3 linked regions of the Ovis aries genome follow. Each later gene encodes a partner of the first gene's protein in a complex. Links are inferred from orthologs where the notes say so. Each region holds a gene or a part of one and is shown on either strand. Other genes may lie near its edges.

Region 1 (4,244 bases):
AAACATGTTTTAATCAAAATGTTAGTTTCCAGAAATGTTGTATCCTAGGAACCAGGCTATTGCCTTGAAAATGTTTATACAGCTTGAAAAATTTACAAAGAGGAAGCCCTGCTAAATTGCTGTGACAAAACTATTATCAATGTAGCTAAAAAGAATAAACTGAATGATCTTGTGTCTTTCACTGTAATAGGAGCTGATTTGTATCACACATCTAAATCTGCCTTTAAGCTCTGAATGACATTTTTTAAAGGGCACTTTACAAATTTAACTGCTTTATGTTGAATATCCTAATTATGGCATGCCACTATTACGTCTTTCTTTGTAGACTACCCCAGAACTTCCTTCCCTATAATTCTCTGCAAGGGAAAAATTCTTGTGTTTATCCACTGATATTACTTCTAATGATTTCCCTCTTCCTCTAATAATCACTACCCAAGCCTCTATCTCTAGAATCATTCCAACCTTCTTATGTCCCAACCTGTTCCCTAACTTCTACAAATAAATATCATACCAGCTGTCTGCCTGCTGCTGAGGCAACAGCAGGTTATTTATGCCCTTGGAGATTCAAATTGGGCCAAAAATAAAAGAAGCAGGCTGTGAGTCCTTTGAGGAAAAGGACTGTGTCTTGTTCATGTGAGAACTCCTGAACATTCCGCAGGGTACCTGGCATTCAGGAGGAGCTCAATAAATAGTTCTGCCTGCCATTAAGCTAAGGTCCACTCACAAAAAGAATAAGCCAACAAGCCAAGTGACCAGATTATTCTTAGATACAAATGTATTTAGGAGAAGACAATTAAGCTCAACTTCCTTATTGATGCCTAAACCAGTTTGTCTTTACAATGACTAGAGGGTGAATTTTAAAACAGATTGTGATGAGGCTACTATGAAAGCCCCAAAACTTACAATTTTAAAAATCCCAGGATCTTAAAAATTTGTTTTCTTGCCAATCATTTGGGGGTGTGTGTATGGGGGCTGGGGGTGGGAATACAGATCCAAAATCCAAGAGAAACGTATTATCCAACCAGTCTTGTTAAGCAGGCTACAAATAGGCAGGCAGCTGAAGGATGGACTGCTCAGGCAGTGAAGAATGGGGTCTATACAAAGTAATTGAAGAATATTTATAGACCCTATCCCTTCTTGTGAAAATGACTGATATTTCTTAGCACTTACCTCTAAGAAATGAGCTAATATGTATAAAGCACTTAAAACAGTACCTGGAACATAGTTAGCTCTATGTAAGTGTTGCTTAATGAAGTAAATACAGATCAATTTCCAATCGCATTCAATCATATGTTAGAATCCACAATGCCTTAAGAATGACCAGGTTTAGAGAGAAGTTTCAATTGTGTAGTTTTCAAATCTGCAGCTGGAAACAAAGAGATCCCAAGAAATGTTTCTTGCAAACTCATTTCATGCTTGAAGAAATATACCTTATACTTGTAAAGAAATTCACAGGTTACAAAAGCAATCCCATCTATTATTAAGTTTGATACTCACAACAGCCTTGTGAGAGGCAGGGCAGGTAAAATTAACTCCATTTACAGATGTGTAAACTAAAGTACAGAGAGATTAAGTGATTTGCCCGAGGTCACACAGTAAGTGAAAAGGCCCAGACTAGAAGAATCAAGGTCTCTGGTGGGGGGGCGGGGGGGGGGGTGTGTGTGGTGGTGTCCAGACCTCTTCCTTCTATAACATGCTGCAACTTGGACTTTCTTGGGTCATATTTGGAAGCGATGATTCTGGGACCATAAATGTAGACTTGAAATGCAAGACACAAATGCAAACTTGAGTAGTTAAGGCAATTCTGTTAACTGGCATTAGAGGTAATTAATAGCTGGCAAAACACTGATCTACACAGGAGTGGTAGTATAAAATGCCATGACTACACACAGTCACAAAGGGCACCACACACTGTCTTGACGGGTAAGTTCTCCAAAATATGCCATTCAGAGATCAGCAGCACCAGAGAATATTGGCGTCAGTATAAGAAAGGAAAAGCTGCCACTTCCCTTGAACTAAACCCAGAAGGAGAAGGCTCGCCCCAGCGGCTGGTGAAGACATGGAGCCTAACAAGGCTCTGAGGGATTACACGCAGATTGCAAATTCCCAGCGACAAATGAGTATCCACCATCCCAGTGAAATCAGCTTGCATTTATTCGTATCTTCCCAGGGGCTCTCCACCCCAGGGTAAGCAATCTGAAACCGGGCAACTAAAGGTGAAAATCGACGCGACCGTTTGCAGGATTCCAAATCTCACAGAAAGGTTGGCTGGCGGTTCAAGTGGCACCGCATACCAACACAAGACGTTATTTTAAGCGCGTGTCCCTAAGGGAGAGACCGACCAGATCTAGCATCTACCAGATCTAGCATCTCCCACCAGCCAGGATTTTTCCTAAAGCAAGACTGAGAGCTGAGCAATCCTGACCCAGGCCCGCCCTACTAAATCCACAGGGGCCCTCTTTCCACTTAGAGACCCGCGCTGCTCCAGGCCCAGAAGCGTGGCAGGGACCAGAGAGGCACCCCGAGGCAGGCTGCCCCCGCCGCCTTAACCATCAACGCCCGAAAGAGGAAGGCGCCCCTGCAGCTGACCCACGGGCAGGGACCGGGATTTTGAAAGGCTCGGAAAGGGGATGGTGCAGGCGGGGCCGCACGGGGCCCCCCGCCCCGGCCCCTCCCTGGCCTGACAGCCGACGGCGGCGGGTGGCGGGGCCCCCTCCCCACTGCGCGGCTCGCGGGGCGCCTTACCTTTGTGTAGAGCTCGGACGCGGCCATGGCGCGACCCGCGGCGCCGACGCCCCCCGCTGTGCGGAGGCCGCACCTCTCCTGGGCGGCCGCCCGCGCCGACTAGGAAGCGCCCCGGCAGCCGCTGGCGGGGAGGAGGGCAGGGCCGCGCGGGGCGGGCCGCGCGGGGCGGGGCGGGGTGGGGCGGGGCGGGGCGCCTCAGCAGCTGGCGGCCTGCGGGGGGCTCGCCATCACGCCCGGGCTCGCCGCGAGCAGTGGCGCGCGCGCGGCGCGCCCGGGGTCCTCCGGGTCGCCGCCACAGCCACCCAGGCGGCCAGTGATGCTGCCGCCGCCGCCTCCCTGTGCATTATGGGAACGGGAGGAGGCTGCGCTCCGGCGCTGCTGCCACCGAGGCGGCTTCGGGTTCTCTCGGGCTCACGCTGCCTCCCAACGGCTGCGGGTCCCAAGCATCATCTGCCTGCCAGCCGGCGTCGCCGCCGCCTCCTCCCGCGCTGCAGAGCCCAGAAGCCCGCCCCAGGACACCCGCTGCTCGCACACCCTTCCCGTGGGCGCGTCGCCTCTTGGATGCCCCCGACCCCAAGCAATCACCGGAAGGTGCAGAATAGCCCAGCCCCCGAGAGGGGAAGCGATAGCTGTGTCACTGAGGGTGGCCAGGTAAATGATTGCGAGTCTGCAGGGTGCTTCTCCTGTGCGTCCCAGAATTTGTAGAGAAAGGAATTTGGGGAGAGGCTTCTTGGAAGGTCACAGAATAACCAAGAATTCCAGAAGAGCTTTGTTAGCCTTAGAGGCCTGGGAGTGAGCAAGAACCGGGAATCCGAGAGAAATAATCACCATGGTCACCCCGACTGCTTCAGCATCTGCCACAGGGTCGTTTCGTGAAACCAAAGCATAGGGGTTTTTTTAGACTGTAAGTGCGCCTGGTACCAAGATGCCGCCATGGGGCAGCCCTGGAACCTCCACTCCTAGGCCTGCGCCTGTATAGCGGTACAATACCCTTTGGTCCCAGCCTCTTTCTCTATCTAGTCGCTGTTATCCTTGCACTTCAAGCACAAGAATGTGATCCTTCCACTCCACCCCCATGCCGTCTTCATCCCCTACCTCTTACCCAGCCACACTTTCATTCCAGCTTGGCTAGTCTCCGTATTTTTCATCCCAACCTTTTTTTAGTGTGGCCATCTTCCCTCAGTTCTTTGAACTCTCAAGTGGTGCCTAGTGTCAGTGCTGGGGCTCTGGGATTTCCATCAAGAGCATCTCTCAAGGCTGGTGCCCTTGGTAGTGGTGTGTATCCTGCATGTGTATTTGAAGGAAGATCACTGTTGGGGGGACACTTGGAGCCAGTCCTCCCCTTACTCACTGTCTGTCCACAGTCTGCTCAGAGCTGCCAGAGGTAATAACTAAAGAGACCTGCAGAATTCTCTGTACCTTCCAGTTCTGAAACCACATCTTTGGATCCCACTCTTTCTTTAAAAAAGAGATAATCTGTGCAGCTATGAGCAGTACAC
Region 2 (3,618 bases), on another chromosome or scaffold:
AGTCGCCAGGGTCAGAGGGTAATGCAGCCAGGATGGGGAGTCACGCTGGGACCTGTAGGCTTTGCACCTCCAAGTGTGGCTGCCCAGCCCAGGAGGACGTGGCTCTCCATTTCATCCTTTTATGTGCTGAGGCAACAGAGGCTCAAGGCCACTGTCTCAGTCACCCTTGTGAGTGACCACGGTGGGAGAGGGTGCCTAAGCCCCGCCAGGCTTGTCCCCAGGGCAGACCCAGCCCCACAGCAGGACACAGCTTCACAGCAGGGTGCAGACAGGACCCCGAGCAGAGGGCCCACAGCTGGATGCTGCACCCTGGCTGTCTTCTGTTCTCTAGAACCTCCTTCTCTCCCCTACTTCTCCTCCCCTCTTCCTTCCCTCCCCTCCTCATCCCTCCTCCCCTCCCCCCCTGCCCCACTTCCTCCTCATGTCAGTCTCTCTTCAGGAACCTGTGGGCTCTGACCTCAGAAGTGTTCATCTCTTCCATCTCAGCCAACGTAGGGGCCTTGAGCAGGACCCGGGGCCTCGGGCGCTGGGCGCTGCTCCCAACATCCGTGACGGACAGGTTGATGCAGGAAGTGGACTTGACGTCCCCAGAGCAGGCGTTGAGGATGCAGGGCAGAGAGCCGAACCCTGGGGGAGGCAGGAGGTGAGGCAGGATGGACAGGACAGTGCGGGGGAGGACAAGGTGCAGGGGAGGGGTGTCCCATGCTCACCCCGCTCGCCCCGGCCGTCCCAGCGCCTGCTCTCCACAGGGCGTAGCCTGCGTTCCTGCTTGATCTCCTCCAGGATCTTCTCGTGCAGAGTTCTCTGCTTCTGAGGTAAGGGGCGAAGCCTTCTCTCTGAGACCTGCAGGGGGTTTAGCAGCACCAGGTGGGGGGCCAGCTCCCTGGAGGCCCTGCGTGCTCTGGCAGGCAGCGTCCCAGAACCAAGCTTCGGGATGCCCCGCGGGGCTGGTACCTGCTTCAGTGGAGGCCGGGAGCGGATGAAGTCCAGGATGAGTTCATGGGCATCTTTCTTCACTCTGGGAGGGATGTCCCCGTCAACCTGTGGGAGAGAAGGAGGGCAGCAAGGCTAAGGGGCCATCTGCTTGGGCCGCAGCCATAACGGGTTCACCCAGCCTCCCCCTCAGTGGTTGTGTGGCTGTGGCCTTCAAGACCTGACCACCAGCTTTCCCTGCATCTCAGATTTTGTATGTTGAAACGCGGGTCAGTGGCTTTACCTCACAGGGTCTTCGTAAGAGTGAGATTAACTCACATGTTTAGATTCTCAGAGCAACGCTGGCACACCACGAGGCCCTGTGAGAGTTAAGTGGGACAATCCCACAGCCTCAGCTCCCGCCCCTGGTCCCCTTCTCCCTGCCAATGTCACACTATGTCCCTGAAAGGACCATGAGGTATATGACTCGAGGCCACATTGCCCATTCCCACTGGACTCCCTGGTTCAGTGACCAGCGCACCAAGCAGGGGCTCCGGCAGGCAGAGGGGCCTGAACATGTGACCTCTTTAACCTGGCCCACTATGACCTTGAGTGGCTCACCATGACCTTGCGCAGTTTGTAGTTCCTGGCACGGATGTCCTGCATGAGCATCTCGAAGGGGGTGAGCTGGAACTCTGTGGGCAGGGGGTTGAACTCCTGCTCCTGCACCTTCTTCAGCTTCACCCCATGGCGAAGCTCCCGCATGAGCTGGACCCAGAGTCGGGCCTAGGCCCACGAGAAGAAGGAAATGGCCGTTAGCCCTGGGCGGGGCTCCAGGCCTGTGCCCCCTCTGTGCCCTGGTGGGGGTGGGGGGCATGTGTCTTACCCAGTCTGTGCGCCTCAGGCTGTCCAGCTCCATAAGGGGCTTCTCTGCCTGCGGTTCATCCTCCCGGAGCCTCTGCAGCATCTGTTTAAGTCCGGGAGAAATGGGAGAACGGGATTAGTGGGGCTGTGCGCCCTGCTGGTCTGCCCCCTGGGGACGCTTCTGCACCACGTGGGCATTTTGGACAAGGCTTTGGGGCACAGAAAGGTATCCGAGGGAACCAAGCCATCAGCCTTAGAACCACATGGAAACACTCATGTCCTGCTGGCTATTGGTGGCCGCTCCTCCCGTGCAAGGGCCGGGGGAAGCATGACCCTTGCAGCAACCCCTGGCTGCAGCAGAACCCATGGCCTCCTCACACTGACCCACACTCCTCCACGGGGGCCCCATCCTCCACAATGCAGGCGTGAGGCCCTCCCGCATCTGGGAAGGGCTCCAGACTGCCGCTCACAGGGCACACCCACCCTCGTGGAACAGCACGGCCTCTTCTGTGCATGTCATCCCATCTGGAGCCTACAGTCATCTGCTCCTTTGATTGTTTTCTGAATGGTTGGCTCGATGAGGTCAGAACCATGTTTTCAGCTTTGGGGCTGTTTTAAATCTGGCTCCCAGTATTGTGTGACACATGCTAGGTCTTAAGCATTGGTTGAGTGAATAAATGAATCAGTAAGTGGATAGTTGGATGGGTGGACGGATGGGCAAGAGGGCAAGTCACTCAGCAGACCCCAATGTCATAGAGATGTATTTCACAAACTGGGAAAAACGCCACCAGCAAGGTGAGGGCCCAGGAAGGATGTTGGGAATGCTCAGGAAGCTGTTTTCTGCTGAGAATTTGTGAAGAGGCTGCTAAGTTCATTGCCCTGGATCTTAGCAGCAGCGGGGGCTCTGCTCTCACTGGCCCTCCATGCTGGAGGAGCACCTGCCTTTAGCACACAGCCTCTGCCACCCCATCCCCCAGGTCAAACAGAACCGGTCACCCCAGCTTCCCTCCCAAGCCACTTGCCAAACTGCCCTGGGATGCTCTAGAAAACTCAGCCAAGTCTCTGAGAAGCACAAGGTGTGTGGTTCTAAAAATAGAGCTGGGTGTGACCTGCGTCTCTGTGGACAAAGGGCATGAAGGTGGGTCTCCTGTCCTTTCTGGAGCAGCTCTACTGCCCCTGAGCAGGCTGTTTCTGCTCTCAATGCCAGCCCAGTCACACACTGCCAGTAGCCCACTTCTCACTGCCTCCTCCAGTCCTGACTTCTCCTGGGTCAACTGCTTGAAGTCTAGAGCTGTTTACACTTAAAGAAAGAGCTTTTATTGCCTGGCCAAGGAACTGACCTCAGCAACAGCCAGGCAACTGAAAATCATTAGGATCCTTAGTGCCACACAGGAGTGCGAGGAGACAAGCAAAAGACCCCAAAGAAGAAAAAACAAGCCCAAGAGGCTCTTCGGGAGAATGGAATGGAAGACCCATCTGTCTCCTTCTCAAACTCAAGGAAAAGAAATGCTTTCCAAGGAGGAGCCAGTTAGTGGTGACCTTGAAGAGACAGCTGGCTGTGGAGTTCCTCCCCAGAGGAAGAAATCTTTCCCCAAAAAGGAACCACACAGTCACCCTGAAAAGTCAGGAAACAGGAGGGTCCTCAAGAAAAAGAGGAACTTGTCTTCCAGGGAGGATCCACTCGGCAGTGGACCTGAAGAGGCTGCTATAGCAAGAGCAGTGGCTCCAAGAAGACAATGCTCTGAAGGGCGTCTCAGGAAAACCAGAATGGACATCTCCCTAGTGGGGCATGAGTTTCAGACATAGTCCCCACTCATCCTCTAGAGTCCAATCAAAACAAAA
Region 3 (3,618 bases), on another chromosome or scaffold:
CCCAAGTCCTCACCAGAAAGTACCTTCCAAGCTCCAAGTTGGCCTGGGGCACACCATACACAGCCATGCTGGGACAGGGAAGGGGTGAGCTTGTGTGGGAGGACACACAGGAGCCCATGTCCCGGGAGTCAGCGTCCACAAGCTGCTCTTGTGCCTGACCCACTGCGGGGCTCTGCCGACACCCTGCACGGCCTGGGGGCGGGGCTCTGAGCTCGGATGAGGCTCTGGCCCTGCCGACCCTGTGGTTGCAGCCCAGGAGACCTGTGCTGAGGACCTGGGGAAGCCGTGCCGGACACCTGGCCTCTGTGGGCTTGTCAACGCATGTAGCTTTAAGCCAGTCCGTTTGTGATAAGTTGTTACTCGGCAGTAGCTAACAGATACAACAATCCCATTTAAAGTCCCCAACACTGTGGTGAGTTAGGCACTGGCCCTGGTTTACAATGAGGGCACCGAGGCCTGGTGGTTAAGAGGCTTGATCAGGCACACACTGTACTCCTTTAAAGCTCAGACCCTGTGACTTGTCTGATACATTTATTGAGGCAGCACTACCGATCAGTCTCCCATACTTGCTGTAAGATGCTCCCGATTTAAGAGGCGAGGTGACAGTCTTAGAGTCCATGAGATAGGGTGGCGAGTTGGCCAGCAGAGCTGGGCTTGGTACTCAGAGCTGCCGGTTCCCCCAGGCACCTGCCCCAGCTCCACAGAGTCTGTCTTCCCCTCCCCTCCCGCTGCCCCCGCCATCCGCGTGCTGGGGGTGATGAGGGATCCCGGGAGGAAATGTGCTGATCTACGTCTTCATCCAAAGACTCAGTCAATGTAGATTCACTTATCCATTGTTTGTGGGGCAATAAAAGTCCCCTCCCCACCCCCCAAATGCCTCCAGCATCTTAATGGGCGTGTGGATCATGAGATTAGAGTCCCTATAATACAATGAAAAGGGAAAATGGAAAGAAGACCCATTTCCTGGCAGACACTGTCTAACTACATTTCCCTGGGAGCTGGCCCCCACTGCGGTCAGGTCAGGCGGGAGCACACTGTGGCGGGCAGCCTGTGCTGTCTGTGGTCTCATCGGCTTCTACATCACTCGGACACCTGACCCCCTGGACCCTGGTGCCCGCTCCCACAGGGCACAGAGACAGAGAGCGATTCGAGATTTCATCTCAAAGCCACTGACAACAAAATCAAACTGAGCGAACCCAGGGCCTCAGCACTAGCAGACCTCCCGAGTCACAGCTGGCAGGCAGGTGGCCCAGACGGACCTGCACCCTATTTCGGTCCCAGGTTTGGAACTGCCTGGTCTTTCGGTCAGGAAGGTTGGTCCAGGTGGCCGGTGACCCTAGTCATTTCAGGGACACCTGTGTGTCTCTATCCCACTCCCACTCGACGTCCCCTGTCATAGGCGGCAGTGAGCTGTGTGGCCAGCCAGGGGGTTGAGCTGGTACCTCTGAGGGTTACGGGGAGGCATCCCACCCCGGGGAGCTCCGGTGACAATGGCATCTGCCAGGACCGCGCATGCTGGACAATCCCAGGAAGGAAGGGGCTCCTGGCAATCGGCCAGTGTCCCGGCACGGATCGGGATTGGGAGGGGGGCCAGGTTCCAGAGACCCCTCCTCTACACCGAGCCTGTGTGGAAGACCACGGTCAAGCGCACTTACTGGGAGTGGCGGCGACCCCGGGGCCTGCAGTGCAGGACTCTCCCGGCAGGCAGAGCTCCGAGAGCTCGTCTAGTCCGGCAGGCGAGAGGCCGACCCTCTGCTCTTCTGGACGGGGGTGGCACCCGGGGGCCCTGGCATCAGCCTGGTCCAGGATCCCAGCCTCCTGGGGGGTGGTCTCCTCTGCGCAGGGGTCATCTGTGAGGGCCTGAGCACATGGGAACGGTTGGCAGGTTTCACTAGGAACAGGCAGCTCCTTGGAATGTGGGTCTTTCCTGTCCAAGGACTGAGAGTTTTTAGGCATCATTTGACCGACCAAACACAAGTCACCCCTCCCCTCCACCCCAGCAATTCAACTCCCTTTCATTTCAAAGGGCTCTGGACTTGCCACCAGAGCAGGACCGTGGACCAAAGACCTGATGGGTGCCGGCTCCCAGCTCTCTGCCCTGTTGGGCCCTGCACCCAGGGGTCTGTAGATCGCCCCGGGTGGACCCTGTCCTGGGCTGGCACCACCCGCGCCAGGGCGCTGAGACGTCAGGGCTCCAGCTGGGGCGCCGTCACTCTGGGGCTGGAGTGCGCCAGCCTGTCTCCAGTCCCTCATGGAAGGGATCCCATGAGGCAGAGATCACCCCTTTTCCACGTGAGGTGGGAGGCGAGGAGCCTCACACAGGTCGCCCAGACCAAGGGCACAGAGCCAAGGAGCTGAGGGACCACACAGCCAGGCTCTCCCCGGCAGCCCTGTGGGGGCCCTGTGTCCTGGTGCGATTACCAACAGCCCCTTCCACCACAAGACCGTCCTAGCTTGGGCAATAAGGTGCAGGAGCCCTGCGGATCAGACCAGGGGTGTGGGACTCGGGGACCGTCTGACTCCTCTACCCTGCGCTCCTGCGTCACGGGGAGTCTGCCTTCATTAGACAACCCAGGCCCCCGACTCATCGGCCCTGCACCCCTCTTCTCAAAGCAGCACACCCAGGCTCTCCAGGACAGGAGGGTGTGAGGCTTCTGTACCCCGACTCCAGTTGCCTCCCCCCTCTGCTGCTATGCCCACAGGGCCATCAGACTGTCGCCCAGAATGCTGTCCTTTCCTGGGGCCCAAAAACCTGTCCCCCAGGTTAACTCAGGGGTGAAAAGAGAGTCCACTGACCTGCAGGCCGTCCGTGGCCCCTGAGACCGAGGACAGGCTTGGCGGGTGACCACAGGACGGATCGGAGTCGTCGGAGTCGGCCTCAAAGTCCCAGCCGTGGATGGGGAGGAGGCGCTTTTTCTGAGCAGGAAGAGATTCCAGGGAGAGGGGAGGGAGGGTCAGCCTGATTGGGGGGGGGGGCAGCCTTCCCGACCCCAGGCAGCAGGGGGTTGTGGGAGAGGGTGCTTCCACGGGCCCATCTGCCTTCTGTGCTAGACACGAACTCGAGCAGACCCTGAGGAGGCTCTGAGGGCCGCCCAGAGCCCACCCCCATCACAGGACCTGCACCCCCAGCCCCTCTTAGAAGAGCAGGGGCAAATACCCGCTGGGCCTCCGACGGGCACCTGGCTGCTCAGAGGTGCTGAGGTCACAGGCCCGGGCTGCAGCCTCGGGGGGCAGGCGGGGTTTCTCAGGCTAAGGGGGCCCTCCCGCCTCTCCCCCCTTGGTGAAGGAGGGGCGCCCAGCACGGGGAGGAGGTAGGGAAGGGGCCCCCAAGAGCTCCTTCACCTCTAGATTCTAGAGCAGAGCTGAGTTCCAAATCCTTCCTTCATAATGGTTTCTACCCTTCGAATGTATTTGCAGGGAATATTTCAGACACTAGAGAGTGTTTCGGGAGCCCAGTAAATAAACAGCACAAGTACAGTGTTATTTTCGTAAGAAGATGCATGTGCTCCCCAGGGAGCAGCTGGCAGAACTGCCAGTGTGGCTCTCAGAGACCCCCTGACTCTCCAAGGGTCTCCATCCAGCACCGCCCACCCTGCCCCACCCCTCCCCCATCCTCTT

The links.
Region 2: the proteins of MYO5A (region 1) and SPIRE2 are in contact, whole or in part, in a crystal structure (PDB 5JCY), measured with the Homo sapiens proteins. The link is inferred for Ovis aries from reciprocal best matches to the Homo sapiens genes MYO5A and SPIRE2. Residues at the interface, in NP_001369276.1 of Homo sapiens: Asp1551, Val1554, Arg1555, Thr1559, Ile1562, Asn1563, Lys1566, Ser1597, Gly1598, Leu1615, Thr1616, Asn1617, Phe1618, Asp1619, Leu1620, Ala1621, Glu1622, Tyr1623, Val1626, Asp1629, Leu1630, Gln1633; in NP_115827.1 of Homo sapiens: Arg404, Pro405, Arg406, Val407, Leu408, Leu409, Lys410, Ala411, Pro412, Thr413, Leu414, Met417, Glu418, Met420.
Region 3: the proteins of MYO5A (region 1) and MLPH are in contact, whole or in part, in a crystal structure (PDB 4KP3), measured with the Mus musculus proteins. The link is inferred for Ovis aries from reciprocal best matches to the Homo sapiens genes MYO5A and MLPH. Residues at the interface, in NP_034994.2 of Mus musculus: Asp1524, Val1527, Arg1528, Leu1531, Thr1532, Ile1535, Asn1536, Lys1539, Ser1570, Gly1571, Leu1588, Thr1589, Asn1590, Phe1591, Asp1592, Leu1593, Ala1594, Glu1595, Tyr1596, Val1599; in NP_443748.2 of Mus musculus: Lys184, Lys186, Arg187, Leu188, Leu189, Ser190, Phe191, Arg192, Asp195, Phe196, Glu197.

The regions. Positions count from the first base shown.
Region 1 is NC_056060.1:55,984,150-55,988,393, reverse strand, and holds the start of MYO5A (unconventional myosin-Va), read right to left. Parts: upstream 2,849-4,244; 5' UTR 2,773-2,848; coding exon 2,746-2,772; intron 1-2,745. UniProt on the Homo sapiens protein: Processive actin-based motor that can move in large steps approximating the 36-nm pseudo-repeat of the actin filament. Can hydrolyze ATP in the presence of actin, which is essential for its function as a motor protein. Involved in melanosome transport.
Region 2 is NC_056067.1:14,211,646-14,215,263, reverse strand, and holds part of SPIRE2 (protein spire homolog 2), read right to left. Parts: intron 1,880-3,618; coding exon 1,799-1,879; intron 1,699-1,798; coding exon 1,534-1,698; intron 1,042-1,533; coding exon 955-1,041; intron 844-954; coding exon 711-843; intron 628-710; coding exon 458-627; intron 1-457. UniProt on the Homo sapiens protein: Acts as an actin nucleation factor, remains associated with the slow-growing pointed end of the new filament.
Region 3 is NC_056054.1:3,661,248-3,664,865, forward strand, and holds part of MLPH (melanophilin), read right to left. Parts: intron 2,917-3,618; coding exon 2,797-2,916; intron 1,939-2,796; coding exon of another isoform or gene 1,861-1,938; coding exon 1,656-1,860; intron 1-1,655. UniProt on the Homo sapiens protein: Rab effector protein involved in melanosome transport. Serves as link between melanosome-bound RAB27A and the motor protein MYO5A.